Linked DNA regions of Tribolium castaneum. The protein of the gene in region 1 purifies or fractionates together with the protein of each later gene. This does not show direct contact. Links are inferred from orthologs where the notes say so. Each region holds a gene or a part of one and is shown in the gene's direction. Other genes may lie near its edges.

Region 1 (3,108 bases):
ACACGCGACGGTCTTTGAAGTCCTGATTGCTGCCAGTGCTGTCGTCCGTGTCGTCATCGGACTTCCGACGTTTAACTACAAAGAATTATTTTTTTTTACCAGAAATAGCTGCTTGAAAATTGCTTGACCGCCAAAAAAAGACACGATTATAAAAGCGAGATTTTGCAAAAACAAGTTTCTCAATTAACGTTTTTTTTTTCCGGGCTTTATCTTGTTAAGCTAGTTACATTTTTTCCGTTTGTTGTAGGGCGCGCTCTCAGGGGAGGGTTTCCTCTTGCCAGTGCTTTTCACCAGGCTTTCGGGATTGTTTGAAGTGTTCGCTTCCTTCCACTTGGCGTAACCTTGCGAATTGAATTCGACAGCGTGACACCTGGCCAACTCCGACGCCGCTTCGTCTACTTTAAACCCATGACGAGACAGCACATCGTGAATAACCTAGATTAAAAACGCCACTTAAGGAAACTAATTTCATGCTCCAGTACCATAGCATCAACATTCGGGAATGACGACATTAAATACTTCATCTGGTTCTCCTTCTCCAAAACGGCCGGATTCTTCATATTTTTCGAATTGGGGACAATGACAATATTTGGTTTTGGAGTCACCGCAGATTGAGAATTTGTTCCAGAACTATCACAGTCGGAATCAGAATCTGAAAATGCAATTATTCGGCGCCTCACAGCCCCATTGGATGCTGGAAACAATGTTTAACAGTTTATTAATTAAAATGAACTTGGTCTTACCGGAGCTAATTGCACCGTTGTTACTGTGGTGACTTAACGTCTTTTTTTGTATTCGGAAATCGCGCAAATTTAATAACGTGGGGCTGCCGTTCTCTGACATTGCGCCAGTTACAATTTTATAAATAACATAAAATATTAAGTATAAAACTACAAAATCGTTCTCATTGAGGCACCAGACACCTTTGACAGACGATGGTGGAAGAGTGGGATTATTGCCGCTCACAGGTGGCAGCAATGAGGCAAAAGCGCAAAATTCGCGCAAGTAATTTAAAACCAACTCTCATAAACTAATAAATAATAAATTTCCCGAAAATACAAAGTCCTCTACCCAACGTTAACTGCAATAACCACAAAAACGAAACTACGACTTACAACACTTACAAGTTAATGGTTTTAAGATCAACAAACACAAAAACGTAAAAGGTGACTTACCGTTAAATTATTTAACGCATTTATTGTAAATAAACACCAGTTGAAGTAAAATTGGTTTTTTTTGTGTAGCGTCTTAAAACAATGAAACGTAAAATTAATCCAAAGCACACTTTTCGTACTTCAATTCATTGTCATTGGGGGCCATAGAGGCTCATTTAGTGACTTGGGGCTAGTAAAATTCTTAATTCTATGCCATTTCTCTAGTAATGGGAACGCAATTTATTTTTTTGCGTTAACCTAAACATATAATTTAGTTTCGCGGCTTTCAAGATTGACAGTCGACCGGACGTCGTAGATGTCGCTGTGTGTTTCCGCCTCTCGACATTTGCTGACATTTAGGCCAAGTTTTTGAATAACAATATTTGCAAAAATGTCCGGTTTGATAAAAAGCGTGCGCGTTTTATCCCGAAATTCGAGTTATTTACGAGCTGTTGCGATTAGGCCACTGACTGTCATTGCCAATAAACACAAAAATTATGACCAGCCCCCGGTTACAAGCAGCTCAGTATTTGCACCCCTTAGCCAGGTACGTCCAGTTTGTCCGATTAGCGGTTGCATTTCCGTTCAATTAGGGTGATTTGGTGGAAAAAAGTGCGTTTTTTGTGATTACATAACTTCTAACCTCACTTTATTAGATGCGATTCTACTCGCCTGAAGTAATTCGGACGAAACCGACTGAAGAGGAGATAAAACAGAGAGTTTTGAAAGTTTGCGCGTCTTATGATAAAGTAACCGCCGACAAGGTACTACATAATTTTCTATTTCAGAGACTGGTTTTGCCACTTGAGCGATGTTACAGTTCCAAGCCACCGTTGACTTTAAAACTTATCACAGACCGCGTCCTCTTGGTATTAAAACTGTACGATAAAGTCAATCCAGACAAGGTACGGTAATTTTGCACTTTGTGGCACAGTCTCTGGAATGATCCTGACGGACGTGTTACGATTGACTCGTTTCAGCTCACGCTAGACTCACACTTTATTAATGATCTGGGGCTTGATTCCTTGGACCATGTGGAGGTGATCATGGCCATGGAGGACGAATTCGGGTTCGAAATTCCAGACGGAGACGCCGAAAAACTGCTAAAACCCGCTGATATCGTGAGGTATGTTGCGGACAGGGAAGACATTTACGAATAGGTTTGTAGTAAAACAGTAGATAAGGCTTAATGTTGTGTTTGTTTTGGCACTGATTTGCCAGAATTGCACCATAATGTAATTTGATTTGTTAATAAAGCGTAAATTTTAACTGAGTGTTTTCATTGTATTACATACGCTATTTTTCTACCAACTGTCAAACGATCATTACATTCCCATTGGTCGTGAATTGTCACGTGCTCGTCATAATGCACTCGGATTGGTCAATGAAAGACTCAATATGAATAAATCTTTATTAAACCTCCTTTGAAGTTGATGCATCTCCGGAACCATCATAATTCATATCACAGCTACTTTCTGAGTCACTATAGTTGGTGAAATGTAACGAGATCTTGAGCGTTTGTTGTTCAGAGTCGAGACAGCGCGGCCACTTGATCGGTATCAGCATTTTTCGTCGCTTGGACGACCATATGTTTTCTTTAGCCTTTCGTTTAGGGTCCTCATATTCTAAAGAAACAATAAAGCTTGGTTTTTATTAACAGTTAAGTCACCTTTCGGAAGCATCCAGAAAAAATTGTGTTCGTAGATTTTAGCTAATCCAGGGATGCTCTTGAACTGTTTGTACAATTCTGGATGTTTGATAATACACTGAAGGCAAGTGAGTTGTAAAGATGATTCAATTGAAATGGCACAAGTCATTTTCATTGCTGATTGTGCTGCTGTTGAACTTATCATGGGGTAAAGTTTGTGTGATTTCAACCCTTGGAATGCAACACCTTGGAAAAAAACATTGAGAGCTGATCATTTTAATGATAACTTAAACAACCTAAAGGTTT
Region 2 (3,948 bases), on another chromosome or scaffold:
TCGATCTTAAATATGCTCTTGTAACTTAATCTTTCCTCTACTCGATTCTATCTCTTTTCTCGACACTTTAAACCAATTTGGATCTATTATACCAGATGAACCCAGTTTTGCTATGTATGGAAATAATTACAGAAGCTTTTACAAATACGTATTACAAACAAAATATTGATAGAAAAAAATTACATTTTTCCAACTCCCACGATTTGTTTTTAGAAAAATATTTGAGAAAAAAAAATTAAAAAAAAGATTCAAGAATGGATTGACAGAGAGATATGTTTATATGTGCCCTAGTTTTTTGTAAGCCAATTTATAAGATTTGTTATAATAAATATAAAGAAGCAAAATTGTTAAATATATCAAACAGACCACCTTCGGAGCTTGATGTACGTTTAGGGAACATACGAATTTTTTTTTATTAATTCATGATTGTTCCATAGTCTGTCTCTGAAGGCTCCACTATTTTTTTGCAACAACTGAATGAATAACATAAAATATAATTAATAAAGATTTTTAGTTAGTAGGTTCCAAACACAATTTAGTTTTTTTTGTATTTGAATTTGAACTTTGAAAAATTGATTCCGGTAATAATGGCATTGCTAAACTGGTAGCAGTGTGGGTAACTTGAGGTGAAGCGGCGATTGGGATCCTTGTAAAGGAAAAATGTTTATTTGGCCAGCTCTAATGATGGGTAATTGTTTAAATAAAGGTTATTTGCTTGTCTGTTAGCCGCTTAAATTAAAATAATAAACATGTTTTGAGAAGTATGATTTGTAGAGCATCAACGGAATATCCAGCGAGATGCAAGGATATAAAATAACGTGTATTTACGATGTCTGGCTGATGGGTATCAGTTGCACGCCATCTGCCATTTGATACCCCCATATCAGGTATCGCGTTCATGTTACACATCCATGTTAGGCCCGTGCTCAAGCCTACAACGCATTTAAATTTTAACACAATCGACACGAAAAATAATCAAAACGCTCAAGAAAAAAATATAAATAAAATGTATATTTATGATATTATATCGGATACATTCTGGCCCCCTCTTTCCCGAACGAACACATCAACAATGACGAAATCTATTTTTAAATCGACATTGTAAATCTGTATGCTTTTAAAATAAACCAGACTTGTTAATTAAACATCGCAAAATTGAACCCACCTTTATATCATCGTTAAGCACTTCCTTTTTAATCGTAACTTTCGCAATTTCTTCGGCGCCACTTTTTTCCATAAATGAAAACCAAATGTGCAAAAAGGCCAAAACCAAAAATTCAAAACGCACTACTGACTCAATAAATGACGGACAAAATCACTTTTCACATTAATACTGCGCCACTAGGAAAATTTCGATGAGAACTACAAGCTGAGCTTTTCAATAATGTTGTGATTATTTTGGTACTCGAAGTGGGGTATTCCCGCCACACTTTCAAATTCAAAACGCGCAAGTCTACCAAATGCGCAAGCGCACCAAAACCAACCCCAAAATTGTGTAATGTCCAAAATTGCAAAACCCGCCCTTAGCTTGAAACACGTAATCGGTTTCATATCCAAATCTTGAATAATTCCTATATTTTAGTTTATCTTGAAACAAGAAGTTAAGAATCTTTACAGGAAAATCTTCAGGGCTATACGGCAAGTGCCCGATCAGGGGCACCAGCAGGAGCTGAAGGAATGGGCAAGACGTGATTTCAGGAGCAACGCTCATCACACGGATGAGATAACTATTAAAATGTACATCAAGTACGGGGAAAGGTGTTTAAAGGAACTGGAAAATACCATTTCTTTGGCAAAATAGGTTGTGATTGAAATGAATACACTTGTTAGATAAAAAACGGTTTTATTCAACAATTTAATTAAGTCTAGTCCATATGACAATAACGCAGTGAATCACTAACAAGAGTGTGAAAGAAGCGGTCACAACGCCTGAAATAATCTTGATATGAGTGGTCCTCAAATGACTCGCGAATATTATGTGGAACAAAGTGTTCGTTATGTGCTGGCCGTCCATAAACAGACAGGGCAAGATATTAACTAGAGCCAGCCCCATTGAAAACATAGCTAAATACCCTAGAAATTTGGTAGTAACATCGGGAATTCGCGTCCCTAAAAACGAATATTTTGGGACGTATGAGGACACCGTCACTGTCCTCACAAGATCAGACACGGGCCCAATGTAGATAACGTCGTTTTTGTTGACTCGCTTGATTTTAAACAAATTCGTGTTATTCGTTAAAATCGGTCTGAAACAATAAGTATCTTTGGGGCAAACATGGGGGTCAGATATGCAGAAATTTGTCGAGGCTTCGATCGCAGGTCTTCCAGGCAAACAGGCGTAAGGGGGCAGCTCCAAAATGCTGTCTTTACTATCCAAGTACTCAAAACACAATTTGCCTTTATTCTCTGAATGGCAGCAGCTTACAATCCCACTTTCGGAGTGTTTCAAATGAACGCTCTCATCCAGATCGCGCACAACGTCGCCCTCAATACAAAACGCGGGCTTTTTTGTGCGTAAAGCCACTAAACATTTGTACCACGCATTTTCATCGTCCACCTCACAATCATTAATTTTCAAAATTAAATCGCCAACATTTAAACCCCTATTTCCGAAAATTGGCGATTTTGCCTCAAATTCCGTTACCACAACTCCTTTACCAAAGTTGAAAAACGGTGAAAAAACGGACGGTAGAGAAGTGTAGAGTAAGTAAGCTACGAGTGCAATTAGCAAGTTGTGCCAAACTCCGGCGCACAAAATCTTGAGTCTTTTCCAAGGATTTAGAGAAAATAATTTGTCGGAATTTAAGTTAACGTAAGCCACTGGCAAAATAAAAATTACGTTGGCGCCCACATTGATCACATTTACGTCTTCTTGCACAGCCCCTAACGCATGGCCTAGCTCGTGCAAAACCGAACTGATTAGCAAAGTTAAACTGTAGTAACCCATTTCGGATGCTGGAAGGTTTATTCCCGGGACTACCGGCTGAATTATGCTTTCCTCGCCACTTGCCGAAGACAAAAAGTTTTGGAAGAAAGCCACTAACAATAGGTAGATCGAAGCAGGCAGCAAAACTAAACTCACACATAGCCCCAAATTAAACCACAAATTAAGAAATTTCGTGTTGTGACTGCCCCACTTAAGCAGCAATTTATTAAAGGCTGTCGTGGTCCACGAAAACTGGAACAATTTGATCTCCAGGCCCGTTCCTTTAAGAAATTGGATGTATCCGTAATGAGAACATGACTAAAATTGTGGTTTTTAAGGGCACTAAACGTGTTCCGACTTACTTTAAAAAACCTGTCCATGAAGAGAACCCATAAGTAAATCGCCGCTATTGTCATTAAGCCAAAAATCAAGTCCATTTTTAAGTTTTTAACTCATTTTTCAAAAAATTATTAAATTTCCTAACCCCACATAATAGAGTGGTGGCTACCAACGCAACGAATTGATAAAATAAAAACCACCAAACTTTCAATTGTTTAGTCGGTGGAGTGGGTAAATTTTGCAAAAACTAGAATGGAACAGTCAGAATCGGAAAATAACACAGAACTGGGAGACAAAAAGTCCTACGCTGGAATCCCCGAAGCCGAATTTGTCGTAAGTGTCGAAACCCCGTCCACATGTTTTTCGAAAAAACGTAACCTCAATCCCGACCTTATGATTTTTCCTGTCTCAGGAAGATGTGGATGCGTACATGGCGCGGCCCGAAAACAACAAAAACGTGGAAGAAGTGTTGAAAAAATTAGATAACCAACATGCCAAGTATAAGTTTATGGAATATAATTTATTGTCGAAGAAAAAACGGCTCCAGAACCAAGTCCCCGAGCTGAAGCGTTCGTTAACGATGATTGAGAAACTAGGCGAACAGAAAAACGAATTCGAGACTCAGTTTTTGCTCAGCGAACAGGTTTTCGCCAAAGCTAAAGTGCCACCAACTGAGACGGTGT

The links.
Region 2: the proteins of ND-ACP (region 1) and LYR motif-containing protein 2 purify together in Homo sapiens (affinity purification with mass spectrometry; 3 studies listed by BioGRID and IntAct, counting the BioPlex papers as one, with this or other methods). This does not show direct contact. The link is inferred for Tribolium castaneum from reciprocal best matches to the Homo sapiens genes NDUFAB1 and LYRM2.

What each region holds. Positions count from the first base shown.
Region 1 is NC_087399.1:2,701,164-2,704,271, forward strand, and holds ND-ACP (mitochondrial acyl carrier protein 1), read left to right. Parts: upstream 1-1,504; 5' UTR 1,505-1,545; coding exon 1,546-1,701; intron 1,702-1,810; coding exon of another isoform or gene 1,811-1,918; intron 1,919-1,942; coding exon 1,943-2,059; intron 2,060-2,134; coding exon 2,135-2,314; 3' UTR 2,315-2,369; downstream 2,370-3,108. Other genes in the region: SWI/SNF-related matrix-associated actin-dependent regulator of chromatin subfamily A containing DEAD/H box 1 homolog, read right to left, coding at 1-75, 228-435, 483-694, 744-843; SPRY domain-containing SOCS box protein 3, read right to left, coding at 2,568-2,779, 2,824-3,048, 3,099-3,108. UniProt on the Homo sapiens protein: Carrier of the growing fatty acid chain in fatty acid biosynthesis.
Region 2 is NC_087397.1:4,274,502-4,278,449, reverse strand, and holds LYR motif-containing protein 2, read left to right. Parts: upstream 1-1,362; 5' UTR 1,363-1,498; coding exon 1,499-1,537; intron 1,538-1,582; coding exon 1,583-1,801; 3' UTR 1,802-1,855; coding exon of another isoform or gene 1,856-3,244; 3' UTR 3,245-3,250; downstream 3,251-3,948. Other genes in the region: Sobp (sine oculis-binding protein homolog), read right to left, coding at 1,166-1,237; S2P (membrane-bound transcription factor site-2 protease), read right to left, coding at 1,856-3,244, 3,289-3,363; prefoldin subunit 3, read left to right, coding at 3,518-3,598, 3,678-3,948. UniProt on the Homo sapiens protein: Involved in efficient integration of the N-module into mitochondrial respiratory chain complex I.